Linked DNA regions of Schizosaccharomyces pombe. The gene in region 2 interacts genetically with the main gene of each other region. Each region holds a gene or a part of one and is shown on either strand. Other genes may lie near its edges.

Region 1 (5,035 bases), on a different chromosome or scaffold from region 2:
CAATAAGTAGGCTTCATATCTTTCCTTTGCCTTTGTTATTGAATACAAAATACTCATATATCCACCGCTGTTGAACATTACTCCATTAAAAAGAAATGCTTGTTCTTTTTGGTCAGCCAGAAAATTGGCATGAGCAGGATTTTCGTGCTGTAGATGATAGGGTTCGTGGAGGCTCTTCGATAAGTCATCTCACTGAGGAGAAGGATAGTGATGGGAAATCTCGCGCCAAGTTTTGGGGCACTCTTGATACTAAGACCTTGGGAGGCGCTGGATTCTGTAGTCAGGCTACTAATATCAAGGATAGGACGTGGAACCTGAAAGAGTTTAAAGGAATTGAGCTCGATATTGCTAAGAGCGATTCTTATAAATATACTTTTATCATTAAGGATTGTCATCAAGATTGGGAAACTTCTGATGAGAAGTCAAGTTTATCATATGAATACGACTTTACACCTATATATTCTAAGGAAGACCAAGTTGTTTCAATTCCGTTTTCCGAATTTAAACCGACTTATCGTGGTCGACCTGTAGAAGGAGCCCCGGAGCTTGACGTTAGCAAGATCACTCAGTTTTCAATTATGATTCGAAGCTTTTTTAATTCCCAAAGTGGCGACTATGAACTAGTTTTAAACAGTATTCGTGCTATTCCAAAGAATGTTCCTTTTACTACCCATAAGATGAGTAACGAGAAGCAAAGACTTTTTGACGATTATGAAAAAGAAATTGCTGGAGGTTCTTGGTGCATTTGCCAATAATTCCAAAGTTTTAGCAATACTTACTTAATTTATTTTCATGACATTTGATGAATTTAACTTGCGTTTTGTGCGGTATTCATTTGTATAGTAAAGACATGAAATTATAGTAAAGGCGACTTTGTATTACTTTAGTGTTGGGGATATTAAAGTCTCCTGCTACTCTTTTTTTATTTTGAAGTAATTTTAAAGAGATGAATAAGGTTAGCAATAGTTTAATTGACATCAATTTAGTACATTGACATTTACAAAAATCTGAGTTTTTAGCTTAGCCGTTACTTCTATCCATTAATGGTGATGTCCGACTAATGTCATTAGAGCAATTAGCATTTGCAATCATAAACTAGACGATCATAATCAATCAAAGTAATTGACAAACAACAACACTATGAATTGATATACGTACAACTATGGAGTTGTCACATCTCTGCAAAACTACAACCAAAGTAAATTCAATTTAGTTTGCTTATTTTAACTTCTGATTGTCAGTAACTTACCATATATACTCAACGCATTCTTTCCCATTGCCGCGGAATTTGTACAAATTTGACTAGTGAGGTTCGCTAAACTTCTTGATGATAGTAGTATCGACAGATTGTCATCACCGTATGTCTTGAAATAATTAGTTGGGTGTTTGCATTCCCCAATGAAATAAAAAATCTTCAATATTTAACTTTATTTTTATTATTTAAAGTACAAATTACATTCATCAATGAATGGAGCTGTTGAAAGCTTATTGTACATAAAAGTAATTAACAAGCGAGAGTATTCTATCTATTTATCTACTTACAAACAGATCAATCTAATGGAGTCGTTAAGAGTACCTTTATCCTTTTCTAAATGTATTCATAGGCTTAAACCACTAACTTAAAAGTAATTTTATTGTGTTGACAAAAGTTAAGCCACTGCTAGAATAGTGTAAATATTTTAAGCGAATTACGGTTAAACGATGCGACGGACAAAGATAACATTTTTCCCGACAAAGCGCTTCTATGTTTATCGACTAATACTGAATAAACCTATCCTCGGTTTCAACGAATTTTGCTTCCGAGTGTATAGATCAGCGCAAGTGGAAATTCTTAGAAGTGGCTAAACATGCTATTTAGGCCAATGTCCAACAAGGAAATTTTCATGACATGAAGTAAGAACTGGTCTATTTAAAGAGGTTCTGTCTGGCAAGCAAAAGTTCTACGAGGAATGTAATGACAATCAATTTTGTCAAGTTTTTATTACGATCCACTGAGAACAAGAACTTGCATTGAGAACCGATTGGATGTGGTTTTTAAGAGAAACAATTTTTGGTGAATTAGTGGAATACTTTTCTGGCGGTACTCGCCAAGTTGATGTGGAGAAATTAGGAGTATGCACAGATAATAGTAATGTTGAGTTAAGTAGTTGCCCCGATTCTTCATTTGACGACGAGAAAACTAACCAGGTTAACTCTGAAGGATTGATTATTGTGACATGGGATGGCGAAGATGATCCTGAAAACCCAAAAAATTGGCCTTTATGGGCAAAGCTCGTAGTAACATTTGATGTTTGTTTTTTAACGTTTGCCGTGTATATGGGGTCGGCAATCTTTACTCCTGGTATTCAGGAAATTCGAGAGACGATGCATGTAGGAACCGTGCCCGTAATCTTGGGGCTGACTCTTTTCGTTGAGGGGTATGCGGTTGGCCCTCTCATTTTCTCTCCACTCTCTGAGGTACCTCAAATAGGCCGTCAAAAAATTTATGTGCTCTCCCTTATTGTTTTTATCTGTCTGCAAATCCCCACTGCGCTAGGATCTAGCTTGGGTGTTTTGCTTCCAATGAGATTTTTGGCGGGAGTTTTTGGCTCACCTGCCCTCTCCACTGGAGGAGCCTCTCTGGCCGATATTTGGCAGCCATGGCTTTATCCTTATTTCATGTGTTTCTGGTCCCTTGGCGCAGTTGGTAAGCTGGATCATTTAATTTGATAGTGAATTTGTGACTAACTAGTTTTCTAGGTGGTCCTGTTTTAGGTCCCTTGCTTGGTGCAGCCATGGTAGTTGCTAAATCATGGAGATGGCAGTTTTGGCTTTTGATGATGATTTCTGCACTTGTCTTGGTAATTATAACTTTTTTTATGCCAGAAACCTCTGAATGGCATTTATTGTATAAAAGAGCTAAAAGACTGCGCGAATTGACTGGAAATCCAAATTATAAAACGGAGGCCGAAATAGCCTCCTCGCAATTGAGTAAAGGCCAATTTGCAAAGCAAATATTGGTTCGTCCTATAATTCTGTGTGTCTCAGAACCAATCGTTCTGTCATTAACCATCTATATTGGATTAGTATATTCAATTTTATACCTATGGTTCGAAGCCTTTCCCATCCTTTTTACTACAGTCTACCATTTTACGACTATTGAAAACGGGTTGGTTTACATGGGTATATTGGTAGGTTCAGTTCTAACCGTAGCATTTTACTTTATTTACCTTAGAAAAGTGATGATTCCTAAGTTTGTGGAAAATAAGGGTAAGTTTCCTGCTGAAGAAATTTTAATCATCTCATTTCCAGCTGCCTTTTTTATTCCAATTTCACTCTTTTGGTTTGGTTGGACAGGAAGAGAATCGGTGCACTGGATTGTACCAATTGTTGGTACACTTTTCTACGCATCAGGTTCCTTTTTGTTGTTCCAAAGTATGTTTCAATATTTGGCAGCTGCATATCCGAAGTATGTTGCATCAGTATTTGCTGGAAATGCTCTTTTTCGATCTTCCATGGCTGCAGCATCTCCTCTATATGCTAGAGCCATGTTTAATAATACAGGTCCTTCATATGCCCCAGTGGGGTGGGGAAGCACGATTCTTGGTGTTATTTCTTGCATAATGATCCCCATTCCATTCTTGATTTATAAATGGGGTTTGAAACTAAGAAGTCGATCAAAATATGCCACTTAAAGAAAATTCATGCTAAAAAAATACCTCTTTACTGGTCCCTCACCTATACCTTCCTTTATTTAATTCTGGTCTTTTGTGATCATTACATATTATTCGATTACTCCGTGGTAACCTTAACGAAGGATACGAATTTAATTTTTATACATTAGATATTTATGAGTTTCTTTGCTGTTTATTCCTTGTCATTTTTTAAAGTGCTATTAGTTGGATATGGTTATTTCTACTCTAGTCTTTAATAATTTCTAATGTTATTAGTCTGGAAATATTAGTGTTTAATAAAATGGAGCTTGGCGATACGTTTACAATTGCTCTAAGCTCGTTACTCTTAGCCAAAAAAGGAAGCCGGAATTTATTTACAAAACACCAACTGAATAAATTTGTTTACGTTTTTAAATGTGTTTACCTAATAACTTGACTTTGTTAAGTGGATGTTAGTTCCAAGCGTTTGATTGTTAATCATTGCAGTTTTAATATAAAAAAAAAATGAAATGTGAAGAAGAGTAAAGTTATAAATATATTTTTCCTCATCCCTCCTGTTTTCAAACGTATTGAAAAAGATCATGCTAATTGACTATTTTTTGCGTGCGAATCCATTTTGAAATTTAATCTTTCATATTCTTATTTAAATAACAATAAATAAGACATTAAGATAACGAGCAGACACAGCTAACTACCTCTAACTTAAAGTTTTTTTACTTTAGGGCTTCCCTATATTTTCATCTGTTCTCTACGAATTAACCGCTTTATTTAGTTTACCTTGAAGTTAATTTGTGTACTATCCAAAACATCGTTAAAGCGTAAGCAACGCGACAAGTAGTTTATAACACTATTGTAAAGCATTTACCGCGTTATAGCTTTTTCCCTTAAATTCATACCGAACACAGTACGCCGCGTAAGATTGAATAAGGTTACATTGAGCTTTTCCATCGCATTCAAAATGCTGCATTCTTAGTTATCCAAGGCTACAAACGCTTATTATGGAAAGGGCAGTCGAACTTTCTGTTAGAAGTTAGATGGTTTTTAATTCATCATGAGTGATTCCTTTCATTATCAATATGATCGTGCTTCGCCTGAACGACTAAAGCCTACGATTTATTCGTGGACGCGTCTTAGACAATCTACACGTGCCCAAAATGAAAATGAACAAGCTAAAAGGCGACAGGGGATTTTGGAACATAAAAGGGGAGGTTCCATGGAAATGAATAAATTTATAGACGAAAGCGCTTATATGGAATGGGAAAAACAACTTGAAAATGCCTCTGAAGATTATGCAATTGAACCATCGGATCTGGAAGAAGAAGTTGATCAATTGTAACGATTTCTGAAAAAGGAAAACATAACACTATGATTTTATTCGTTTG
Region 2 (8,744 bases):
AAAAAATAAGAAAATGATTTCATGTGGCTCAGAGAGTCAATTGCTGAGGGTCGTCGAATTGGTAAACGTGATTATTACGAGGTATGAGTTAAACACAAATGTCAATAGAAAAATGAACGAGTAGAAGTTGGTTGGAAGAGAATTTAAATAAAAAAAAAAAAAAAAAAAAATTGGATGAGAAGAAATTTTAGTTACTAGCACATACACATGAATTCAAAATACGAGAAAGACACTAAATGGAATAAACGCTGGCGAGTTTATAGAATGTATCAAAATGTTTAGTAGCACACTATTTAGCGCAACAACAAAAAGATCGACACTTTTGTAATTGTGAAATACTGCAATGTGTCGCTGCATCGCTATGCCCGCATTCACGCTAGACGAGATAGTGGAAGTGGAAAATAGCGTTCACGAGCGAAGTGTATGCTACGAGGTGAATGGGTGTTTTTTTATTCCAAATTACGCTAGTTATCGCATTTTGTTTAATAAAATATTAATAAAATACAAAGCAGTGCGAAATGACACGTTAAAATGCTTAAGTGGATGAAAAAAGAATTTAATTTGCCTTAAGTATTTACATATTTACCTATAGAGAGAGGTAAAGAGATGAGCCATATTGCATTCACGTATTTCGTGCCATAGTATTTGTAGCCGATTTGGTAGGATTGCTTCATCAACATGTTGGACCATGTTATTAACACATGATAGGCAAGTTTACGATGGTCTTCGCACTATGATGTCCAACTTTTCGCAGCATCGAAACGGACAATTTTTTAGTACTTTGAGAGCGATGCGATCGAGCTGCTCTCAAAGTGTCAAATTTGCCCAGTAATTTCGACATGCGCTCAGTAATAGAAACTTCTCGTACTGGGCACACTAGCTAGAAACATGGCGCCCACACACAGTCGGACAAACGATGAAGACGCAGTACAAAGTAGGCAAAACAAAAACGGGAGACAGTGGGAATGTAATCGGTCAAGAGAATATTTCGCTCTCTACAATTTCTAGCTACTCAATCTTCTACTTACTAACAACTGATCCAATGTGCAGCAGTATTTATGCTAGAAAGGAGAAAAAGTCAAAACCAACTTTAAAGTCAGTTTGGCTATTTACCTTTTCAAGTCTTTATGGGAATAAAACAGTAGCGCAGCGTAATATTACATAGCGCACTCGATCGTTACAATGCAATTCATCTTGCAAAGTGCAGAGAGAGTGCATGAACATATTCTATACTGGACATCCATTCCAATTTAATCAGATAAATTAAAAAAAAAACAATTGCTCACAAATTCTTCAGTAATCATCTCTATTCGTAATCCTTATCCTTTATCCTTGCAAATTTGAGTATATCTACTCTCCTTCGTAATCTTCCCGATCGCACTCCTTTATTCCTCATTATTCCATTCAACACATTCTCTTTTCCTCGTTATTCTTTGCGCTTACTCATTTCTTACTAATCAGATCTGCAAGAGCTGCATTTGATGCCAAATGTGCGACACTTCTCAAACGCGAGGTGCTCGGACATCGGGCATCGGAATTTAGAAATTAGCCTCTTGCGTATCGCTGTATCGTGATAACAGCAAATGCTGTAGTTGACCGCGCAGCGGTAATTTCGGAACTTGGACGATCCCGACTATGTTTGAGTGCTTCGCTGCTAGGAAACGCTACTAAAGAGGTTTACGAAAACGCTATTTGTCGTTAAATTTACATTACTGAGAGAGTGAGAGAGCAAGTGTCTATAGCTAAAAGTAGCGCAGGAGAGGAAACGTTGAACGCGTAGTTAAATGGAAAAAAGGTAGGATTTGTCAGGTTTTAAACCAATATTCAAATTCATCAAGTCATTTGAATAAAAAATAGACCAAGAAGTAGGAAGTTTGAATGAAAATAGAGAAACTTTTCACTCACTTTTGTATTTCCCTTTGACATGTAAACAAAAGAAAGATAAAGATGAGCGCTCGTACCAGATGGACGATTCGGGTCTTTGTTGGTTTGCAAAACAATCTCTGAAATTATGAACAAACAAAAGAACTTTGTAAAATAATAAAAACTATGCTAAAGTCGGGGGAAATTTCGAGAAAATTTGGGCTTTTTCTGAGGTTAAACACTTTATAAAAGGGATTTTGGACTCTTTTCTCAATCTTTTTGATTCAAGAGAATCTCGCTTTTAATTCATTGAAATTTTTTTTGTTCTTTCTCTCATATTACACTCATTTTTATCGGTTTTTCATCTCATTTCGTCTCTAAACCCTCTCTTTCTTGTTGCGTCTCTTATTATCGAGTTGTCTTAGTCATACTATTATACAAGGCAAATTTATCGCTTGCTTGCTCCTCGGTGTTTAGTCGATCGCTTTTCTATGACATCACTCCGGAGAGTCAAAGCGCCGAACGAAATTGTTTACTAAAGCGAGTCAGCGGCCACCATTTTTTTCACATCATCTTCCTAGCGTTTGGCAGTTCATATTAAAGAACGAAGAAATTGCTCCCTACTTTCTCGATAACCAACTTGCTTTCTGGTTTATCCTTTGAAGCGCAACGAAACGTCGTTTTTATTGAGTTCGTAGAGACCGTTATCTCGATTTAGTTCCTTTTTGTTTGGTTTTCAAGCTTTTGTTGGAGTTCAGGAAGCTTTAGCTTTCTTACCTTTTCTCCCGTTTCCCTTGCATTTCCATTTCCCTCTTCCTACCTGTCTTCTAGATACATTTCTTTCCTCTTGCGGAAACTTATTGGATTCTCTTTCTTCTTTTGAAACGTGGCCTGCAAAAAGCCATTGTTTTTCAGGAAATTTTGCTTTTCTTATCTTTGAAACTAGTTCCTCTTCTAAAAAATTGGCGTTGCTTCTTTCTTCTTCCTATTTGCCCCTTCTCTTCCCTTCTTGTCATAAGCATACCTGTGGTGCTAGGTTTTCATCCCTGCTCCTATTATAAAACTTTCATTTACTCGTATTATTGACCAGTCGTCTTTCACTTTTTCAGTAGGAGTCTGAATCAACACGAATTGGCGATTCGTATTACGAGCAATCTCACAGGCAGACAAGAACGAAATTTTTTTTCCCCTATTGCGTTTGGGAAAATTCACTCTAATAAAAAAGAAGCCTTCTTTCTATATATTATAAAATATATATAGATAGATAAATATTTTTTATACATACAACCGTATACATATCTATTTATCTATATTTGTTATAGTATCTATTTGAACTTTCCAAAGGAGATCCTTCATTTTTTTATCTTCTTCCTTTAGTAATCTTACTGCTTTTTAAGCCAAGCTTAAAAAGTACTGTTCGATTCCCCATTCGTTCCTCTCCTAATTTTAAATTATTTTCTTCACCCACTTGTTAAACAATAAAACTTTTCTCTTCAGTGTACAGTGAGCTCGGTTGCTTACTTCATCATCACTCACTAATTTTGTTTGAAAGTCTTTCTGGTTGCGATTCGCTTTCGCTTTTTTTTTAAACTTGTTGTTGGTCGTTTTCCCTAGCGTTTTCGTTCAATTCACGTACTTTCGTTTGCGTTTTTCTTATTATTTTCACAACTTGAAGTTTACTGTCTTGTGAAATAGCGTTCTAATTCTTCTTACGTTTTGGTAATTTTGTCGTTTATTTTATTAAACTTTTCATTTCTCGTTTTTTTTAAATCGTTGGACGTCGATCTGCTTTTTTTTTTCAGCTCGATTTATAGAGTTCAACTTGTTTCAATTGTATCGTGGTGTTTTCAAAATTTTTTCTTTTGAATCGTTCAATTACTAATATAAAACATCATTTCCGGTTTTTTCTACTTTCTTTTTTCCTATCCTGTTCTATTTTGATTTGTTTCCCTTTTATATTCCTTTTTACATTACGAAATGAATCAAAATTCGGATACTACTCACGGTCAGGCCTTAGGCAGTACTTTAAATCATACCACCGAGGTTACGCGTATTTCTAATTCCTCTGATCATTTCGAGGATTCTTCTTCGAATGTTGACGAGTCTTTAGATTCTTCTAATCCTTCATCCAATGAGAAGGCATCACACACTAATGAGGAATACCGTTCAAAAGGTAATCAAAGTTACGTCCCATCTTCATCAAACGAACCCTCCCCAGAATCCTCATCGAATTCGGATTCTTCCTCATCTGATGATTCATCGGTCGACCGTTTGGCCGGTGATCCCTTTGAACTAGGGGAAAACTTCAACTTGAAGCATTATTTAAGAGCATACAAAGATTCTTTACAACGAGACGATATCATCACTCGTAGTAGTGGTGTCTGCATGCGCGACCATAGTGTTTATGGCGTTGGTTCTGGATATGAATTTTTGAAAACATTTCCTGATATTTTTTTACAACCTTATCGAGCTATCACTGAAAAACAAGTGGTGGAAAAAGCCATTTTAAGTCATTGTCATGCTCTTGCCAATGCTGGTGAACTGGTGATGGTTTTGGGACAACCAGGTTCTGGATGTTCCACTTTCTTGCGTTCAGTTACTAGCGATACTGTTCACTACAAGCGTGTCGAGGGAACCACTCATTATGACGGTATTGACAAGGCCGACATGAAAAAGTTTTTCCCCGGTGATCTTTTATACAGTGGTGAAAACGATGTCCATTTCCCATCTTTGACTACCGCTGAAACCCTTGATTTTGCGGCTAAATGCCGTACCCCAAACAACCGTCCTTGCAACCTCACCCGTCAAGAATATGTGAGTCGTGAGAGGCATTTAATTGCTACCGCATTTGGCTTGACACACACTTTCAATACCAAGGTAGGTAATGATTTCGTACGTGGTGTCTCTGGTGGTGAACGTAAGCGTGTAACTATTAGTGAAGGTTTTGCTACTCGTCCAACTATCGCTTGCTGGGATAATAGTACTCGTGGTTTGGACTCTAGTACGGCTTTCGAGTTCGTCAATGTCCTTCGCACTTGTGCCAATGAACTTAAAATGACATCCTTCGTTACTGCATACCAAGCTTCGGAAAAGATTTACAAACTTTTCGATCGAATTTGTGTACTTTATGCCGGTAGGCAAATTTATTATGGACCAGCTGACAAAGCCAAGCAATACTTCTTAGATATGGGGTTTGACTGTCATCCTCGTGAAACAACTCCTGACTTCCTCACTGCTATTTCTGACCCGAAGGCTAGGTTTCCTAGAAAGGGTTTCGAAAATCGCGTTCCCAGAACCCCTGATGAGTTTGAACAAATGTGGCGCAATAGTTCTGTATATGCTGACCTTATGGCCGAAATGGAAAGCTATGACAAACGGTGGACCGAGACTACTCCTGCTTCTTCTGAAGCCCCCGAAAAAGACAACTTTGGAAGCGATATCTCTGCCACTACCAAGCATGAGCTCTATCGTCAAAGTGCGGTAGCGGAAAAGAGTAAACGTGTTAAGGATACCTCTCCGTATACTGTGACTTTTAGTCAACAGTTGTGGTATTGTTTAGCTAGGTCATGGGAGAGATATATCAATGATCCTGCATATATTGGTTCAATGGCTTTTGCTTTCCTTTTCCAATCTCTTATTATCGGTTCTATTTTCTACGATATGAAATTAAACACCGTTGATGTATTCTCACGTGGTGGTGTTCTTTTCTTCTCTATTCTGTTTTGCGCACTTCAGAGTCTTTCTGAAATCGCTAATATGTTTTCCCAACGACCCATCATTGCTAAGCATAGAGCTTCTGCTTTGTACCATCCTGCTGCAGATGTTATTAGTAGCTTGATTGTCGATCTACCTTTCAGATTCATTAATATTTCGGTTTTCTCAATTGTGTTGTATTTTTTAACAAATTTAAAGAGGACTGCTGGCGGATTTTGGACTTACTTTTTGTTCCTTTTCATAGGTGCTACTTGTATGTCTGCCTTTTTTCGATCATTAGCTGGAATTATGCCCAATGTTGAATCTGCATCTGCTTTGGGTGGTATCGGTGTGCTTGCAATTGCCATTTACACTGGTTATGCTATTCCTAATATCGACGTTGGATGGTGGTTCCGCTGGATTGCTTATCTCGACCCGTTGCAATTTGGTTTTGAGTCTTTAATGATTAATGAATTCAAGGCACGACAGTTCGAATGCTCTCAATTGATTCCGTACGGTAGTGGATATGACAATTATCCTGTAGCTAACAAAATCTGTCCCGTCACCTCTGCAGAACCTGGAACAGATTACGTTGACGGCTCAACTTACTTGTATATTAGTTTCAACTACAAGACGCGTCAATTATGGAGAAATTTGGCTATTATTATTGGATATTATGCGTTCTTGGTATTTGTCAACATCGTCGCCAGTGAAACTCTTAATTTCAACGATTTGAAAGGTGAATATCTGGTCTTTCGCCGCGGCCATGCTCCTGACGCTGTAAAAGCAGCTGTCAATGAAGGTGGAAAACCGCTGGATTTAGAAACTGGTCAAGATACTCAAGGTGGTGACGTTGTTAAAGAGTCTCCGGACAACGAAGAAGAGCTTAACAAGGAATATGAAGGAATTGAAAAAGGCCATGACATTTTCAGCTGGAGAAATCTTAACTACGACATTCAAATAAAAGGTGAGCATCGCCGGTTACTTAATGGTGTGCAAGGCTTTGTTGTTCCAGGTAAATTGACGGCTTTGATGGGTGAATCCGGTGCTGGTAAAACCACTTTACTAAATGTACTTGCTCAACGTGTTGACACTGGTGTAGTAACTGGCGACATGTTGGTTAATGGTAGAGGATTGGATTCAACTTTCCAACGGCGCACTGGTTATGTACAACAGCAGGATGTCCACATTGGTGAATCTACGGTTAGAGAAGCGTTGCGTTTCAGTGCTGCTCTACGTCAACCTGCTTCCGTTCCTCTTTCGGAAAAGTACGAATATGTCGAATCAGTCATTAAACTTTTGGAAATGGAGAGCTATGCTGAAGCAATTATCGGTACTCCTGGCTCCGGATTGAACGTAGAACAACGTAAGCGTGCAACCATTGGTGTCGAGTTGGCTGCGAAGCCTGCTTTATTGTTGTTTTTAGACGAGCCAACTTCTGGTCTAGATAGTCAGTCTGCATGGTCCATTGTTTGTTTCTTGCGAAAATTAGCTGATGCTGGTCAAGCAATTCTTTGTACAATCCATCAACCCAGTGCCGTACTGTTTGATCAATTTGATAGATTGTTACTGCTACAGAAAGGTGGTAAAACAGTGTACTTTGGTGATATAGGAGAACATTCTAAGACTTTGTTAAATTACTTTGAATCTCATGGAGCAGTACATTGTCCTGACGACGGTAATCCAGCTGAATACATTTTAGATGTTATTGGTGCTGGTGCCACTGCCACTACTAATCGTGATTGGCATGAAGTTTGGAATAACTCAGAAGAACGTAAAGCCATTAGTGCAGAGCTAGACAAAATTAACGCTTCATTCTCAAACAGTGAGGATAAAAAGACTTTGTCAAAGGAAGATAGGAGCACTTACGCCATGCCTCTGTGGTTCCAAGTCAAAATGGTCATGACCAGAAATTTCCAGTCTTATTGGAGAGAGCCCTCTATATTGATGTCTAAATTAGCACTGGATATTTTCGCTGGTTTATTTATTGGATTTACATTTTATAATCAAGGTCTCGGTGTACAGAATATTCAGAACAAGCTTTTCGCTGTGTTTATGGCAACCGTTCTTGCAGTTCCTTTGATTAATGGTCTTCAACCAAAATTTATTGAGTTGCGTAACGTCTTTGAAGTTAGAGAAAAGCCTTCGAATATTTACAGTTGGGTTGCATTCGTATTTTCAGCCATTATAGTAGAAATTCCATTTAACCTGGTGTTTGGCACGCTTTTCTTCCTTTGTTGGTTTTATCCAATCAAGTTTTATAAGCATATTCATCATCCTGGTGACAAAACTGGTTACGCTTGGTTGCTTTATATGTTCTTCCAAATGTACTTCTCAACTTTTGGCCAAGCTGTCGCCAGTGCGTGCCCTAATGCTCAAACAGCGTCCGTTGTCAACAGTTTGTTATTCACATTCGTGATTACATTTAACGGTGTTCTGCAGCCTAATAGTAATTTGGTCGGATTTTGGCATTGGATGCATTCGTTGACTCCGTTTACCTATTTGATCGAAGGATTACTTTCTGATTTGGTGCATGGACTTCCAGTTGAATGCAAGTCTCATGAGATGCTTACTATCAACCCTCCTAGCGGTCAAACATGCGGTGAATATATGAGTGCTTTCTTAACTAATAACACAGCTGCTGGAAACCTCTTAAATCCTAATGCTACAACCTCATGCAGTTACTGTCCATATCAAACCGCTGACCAGTTTTTGGAGCGGTTTAGTATGCGTTATACTCATCGCTGGAGAAATTTGGGTATCTTTGTTGGTTATGTGTTCTTCAATATCTTTGCGGTGCTTTTGTTGTTTTACGTATTCCGAGTCATGAAGCTTAGAAGTACTTGGCTTGGTAAAAAGATTACCGGAACTGGTTAAATGTATTAATATGGGGTGTTTTGATGTTTTTAAGTTTTATGGTCTTTTTTTATACACTTTTTTTCTTTAAAAAATAATTTGTTAATGGTGGAATAAAATACTATTAGTACTCATAATAGCAGACGGCTTGGGTGACGAGTGTTGCCATATTCGTTAATTTACATTAGAAATTATTTTTACTATGTTGACATGTATGCATGCATAAGACTTTTGAGGTTTATACCCAACCAACTTTGAATCTTAGCATGTGTGAAAGCAAATTAACAGAATTCTCTGTATTTAATTTATCTTTTTTATTTTTCTTGAATTAG
Region 3 (4,526 bases), on a different chromosome or scaffold from region 2:
GTTATAACGGCAGTCTCACAGGCACTTTATTTGCTATACCCCAATTTCATATCTATAGTACCAGGAACATTTGCACTTCCTGATTCTTTGAAGGAAAAGCAAAATTTATTCGCCATTCAAGATATATCTCTCGATGAACCTCAAAGGCTAAGCCTATATGAATTAGAAGAGTTACCGACAGGGCTTCTACAGTCTTCCATTTTATTTATAACTTTAAATTTGATAGAAATGGCGATTGACATTTATTTTAAGGAGCAAGCTTTCATTGAAATATTTGTACCCATTATGGACATGTTACAATTGTACTCTTTGAAAAAGGAACTTTTGAGTAAACGTTTATCGGAAAAATTATTATCTACTTTACAGGCTGTTTCCGATTCTATTGAATCAGCTAAAGCAAACCGTAAACCATTGGCTTTACAATCTCATCGTCCTTTAGGAATTACTAGTCAAGTTCCTAAGTTTGAGGAAGGTTATTCTCTTGACAAAAGCTCCCATGATATTGATCCCGAAAGGGCTCAACTCAACAAGTTGCGTGCTCAACACCGCGATGCCAAGAAAGGAGCTATCCGCACTCTCCGCAAGGATGCCAGGTTTATTGCTAGGGAGAGAAGGCAAGAGCAACGTGCTAAGGACCAAGCCTACAATGAGAAAATGCGGAAGTTGGAAAATCGTTTGCAGCATTTTGATCCGGCTGTCTAGAGAAAGTGTGCATTTCTTTAAGTTTTTGAATTTAAATTATAAAGGGTAGTATAGGGATCATTAGGGGAAAATTTATAGGTAATTGATGATTTTAGCTTAATACTTCCAGCCAAAGTCCACTATTACTATTATATCAATAGTAAAAAAACTTATATAATTTTACATACATACCATGCGTAAACTAAGGTGTAGAAAAAGGGAAACAATCATTATTATTGCTCTTCGTGTAAAAATAACTACGAATCAAAAAGCCATGTATCTATAGTAAACAATAATTGATAAGATACTCCTAAAATTATTGGATAAACAAAAGAAAGGAAAGGAGCATACAAAATGCATATGAATACCAAAAAGGGAAAAGGGAATCAGTAACTATTCTAGATTAGTTCTAATCGGTATCTTCCAATTCTTCAAGGTAATGCATAGCCAATAAAGCTGCTTGACAACCACTTCCAGCAGAAGTGATGGCTTGGCGGAAGACCTTATCTTGAACATCACCAGCGGCAAAAAAGCCAGGAATTGAAGTACGAGGAGTTCCATTAATAGTTTTAATGTAACCGGCTTCATCAAGCTCAATTTGTTCAGCTACTAACTTAGTAGCAGGGATATGTCCAATAGCATAAAAGAGTCCGTTAACCTGAAGATCAGAGACTTCATTCGTGTTGGTATTCTTGATACGAAGGTTATTGAGCAACTTGCCATCGCCTTGGGCCTCCTCAGCAACGGTGTTCCACAAAACTTCCACCTTAGGGTTAGCCAAAAGACGCTTGGCCATAATGGGAGAAGCACGAAGCTTGTCACGGCGCACAAGGACATAAACTTTGCTACCATACTTTGTTAAAAACTGGGCCTCTTCGGCAGCAGAGTCACCACCACCAACGACAGCAAGAGGCTTGTTACGATAAATGGGAACGGCACCATCACATACAGCACAAGCAGATATACCTGCTTGCCAATAAGTATCCTCACCAGTAATGTGAAGGCGACGAGCGGAAGCACCAGTAGCCAAAATAACGCTGTCAGCGGTATGAGGCTCTTCCTCTTCAGCACCCTCCAACCAGTACTTGAAAGGGCGAGAAGAAAGATCTAATTTGGAAACAGTCTCGGTAATAATTTCAGTTCCAAAACGCAAAGATTGAGCGCGGAAGTTTTCAGTAAGGGTAGTACCATTGATACCATCGGGAAAACCAGGAAAGTTTTCGACATCGGTGGTAGTAGTAAGCTGACCACCAGCAGCAATACCGTTGGCAAGCATACCTTCGTACATTACGGGCTTAAGCTCACCACGGGCGAGATAGATGGCTGCAGTATGGCCGGCGGGACCAGACCCAATAATAACAACCTTGTTGTGAGTCACTAATGAAGTCAGTAAAATTAAAAAAACAAAACAAAAAAAGATAAACGTTAATGTTGTAAGGCGAGAAGGATAGAAAAGCTGAAAGAACACAAGATAACCATTATCGAACAATGATAAAAAAACAGATGAAACCCAATCTTACACGTGAGTTCGGAAATAAAAAAGTTTCCTACTAATCAACAAAAAAAAAGAAAAAAATTCATCACCGAATTAGTTTTATTTTTAGGTAATAATTTTTTTTTTGTTGGGTTCGACTTCATCGCCGTCACATTTCCTGCACGTTTTTCGTTTCACTTACTATTGATATGAGTATTTGTAGAGAAATATGTTTGTTTTAAAGGGGAATAAATAGATCCTAACTTCAAAGATTTCTTAAAAGAATCGGGTATGCCTTTATAGAAGCTAAATTTCTGATAAGGAAAGAATGTCCTGAAGTATCGAAGGAATGCGATATGGTGGTAGTGGGTAAATTGATTCTTATATAGAGCCCTGGGAAATGGTGTGCTTACTAGCGATGAATAATGAGACTCGTTCGAGACATTCGTAAAAGTGCGAACGCTTAGATTAACAGTGGCAGAACGAGACACCGATATCGCGTAAGCAAATTTAATGCCAACATGGTAGAAGAGGGTATAGGAATGTCGAGAATTAGTGAGGCCACGATAAATGGACGAACCACCAAAGCCATGAGTAAGCGACGCTTTGTACATGAAAGACGACTGACCTATGCTAGTACAATAGAAAGAACTCGACAAGAAAAATCCACGTTTTTGTTAGTTAAGAGTTTAAGCCTCCACAATCCAAACAAATTGTCAAAGAGACGCGCAGAAAGCAAAATTCTCAATGTAGCCGTGCTGGGCTACTTGCCTTACTAAGGTTTTAACCAAAAACAAGTATGATTCAAGTGCGATTGGTGTAGCCTAGAAAAAACAATTGCGAAAAGTAATTTCAAGGAAACAAATTTTAGTCGTTTACAACCCAAAAAAGAAAAATTTGCTGTTCCTGCGATCAACACTGCTTAATAATTTATTTATTAAGGTTACCAACGAGGAAAAATGTTTTACGCTGAATATTGTGATTTGATAAAAGGTATAACGATAGAATTTATAAATAATAAATTGGTTTAACGTTCAACGAAGAAAGTACGAAAATTGGGTTTTGGCTGCTATCAACATTATCGAGCTTTAAGGTAGCACGCAGCATTGCTTTACAATAGGCCAGTTTTAGATGTGAACGGTACGAGGTCGGGAGGTCATCGTTTTCTTGTAATGGTACTCGAGATGTTACTCACTTAATTTTTCTGTTTTCTAAGTGCGTACTACATATTGTACTAATAGAGTTTCAATCGGCTACTATCCTCTAACCCATGTTCCATATTCAACAGCTGCTCTCTTTCTCGCTAATCATGGTTAGTGTATTGCATCTAGCCTACACCCCAAAAACACAGGTAGCAAATAAGCTCACTCATTTCTCGATATGGTGTAACGTCGAATACCTGGCAAGAACCAGACAATCGTTTATTCTTGTATTTTTTTAATGCCGATGAATTCCGTGTTAGTTATTGGAAGTGGATTTTTAGGAGGTCATATCATACGGCAGCTGTGCGAACGTGAAAATCTTCGAATTGCTGCATTTGATCTCTTTGAAAATGAAAAGTTGCTACACGAGCTTCATGGTCAATTCACCATGTATACGGGTGATTTAACGAAACAAGGTGATATTGAGCGTGTTTTTGAGGAATTTCATCCACGCGTAGTTATTCACACTGCTTCACCTGTGCATAACCTTGCTCGTGATATTTACTTTGAAGTGAACGTAGATGGCACAGCGAATATCATCAAAGCATGCCAGAAATTTAATGTTGATGCCCTTGTTTATACTAGTTCCGCAGGTGTAGTTTTCAATGGTGCTGACCTTATCAATGTGGATGAGTCCCAGCCCATCCCAGAAGTTCATATGGATGCCTATAACGAGTCCAAAGCTTTGGCAGAAAAACAAGTCTTGGAGGCAAGTTCTGAATCTTTAAAAACTGCTGCCCTTAGAGTTGCTGGTTTATTTGGTCCAGGTGATCGCCAACTCGTCCCTGGTATGCTTTCTGTTTTAAAGAATGGACAAACCAAATTTCAATTGGGTGATAATTTGAATCTTTTTGATTTTACCTACATCGAAAACGCTGCCTATGCTCATCTTCTGGCTATGGACAATTTACTTTCTAGTAATCCTACTGCCAATGGCCAAGTCTTTTTCATTACCAATGGACAGGTTATTTACTTTTGGGACTTTGCACGTGCTATTTGGGCACATGCAGGACACGTTCCCCCTTATATCATCAAATTCCCTAGACCGGTGGGTATGCTCTTAGCCACTGCTGCTGAATGGGTTTGTTATTTCTTGAAAAAGGAACCTGGCTTTACACGTTTCCGTGTCCAATTTAGTTGTGCTAACCGTTACTTTAACATTCAAAAGG

Evidence for each region. Genes that interact genetically often act in the same process or in processes that back each other up.
Region 1: mutations in bfr1 (region 2) and mfs1 impair growth when combined (synthetic growth defect), as found in Schizosaccharomyces pombe (one study listed by BioGRID).
Region 3: of bfr1 (region 2) and trr1, a mutation in one rescues a mutant of the other (synthetic rescue), as found in Schizosaccharomyces pombe (one study listed by BioGRID).

What each region holds. Positions count from the first base shown.
Region 1 is NC_003424.3:4,470,586-4,475,620, forward strand, and holds mfs1 (MFS family transmembrane transporter Mfs1), read left to right. Parts: upstream 1-1,944; 5' UTR 1,945-2,025; coding exon 2,026-2,686; intron 2,687-2,739; coding exon 2,740-3,674; 3' UTR 3,675-4,159; downstream 4,160-5,035. Other genes in the region: SPOM_SPAC9E9.15 (protein CIA30), read left to right, coding at 96-755; protein dhm2, read left to right, coding at 4,705-4,989.
Region 2 is NC_003421.2:709,104-717,847, reverse strand, and holds bfr1 (plasma membrane brefeldin A efflux transporter Bfr1), read left to right. Parts: upstream 1-2,429; 5' UTR 2,430-3,840; coding exon 3,841-8,433; 3' UTR 8,434-8,546; downstream 8,547-8,744. UniProt on the Schizosaccharomyces pombe protein: Confers hyper-resistance to brefeldin A (BFA), an inhibitor of intracellular protein transport. Could serve as an efflux pump of various antibiotics.
Region 3 is NC_003423.3:4,187,799-4,192,324, reverse strand, and holds trr1 (thioredoxin reductase Trr1), read right to left. Parts: upstream 2,527-4,526; 5' UTR 2,359-2,526; coding exon 2,358-2,358; exon of another isoform or gene 2,059-2,357; coding exon 1,091-2,058; 3' UTR 877-1,090; downstream 1-876. Other genes in the region: U3 snoRNP protein Nop14, read left to right, coding at 1-702; erg26 (3 beta-hydroxysteroid dehydrogenase/delta 5-to-4-isomerase), read left to right, coding at 3,596-4,526.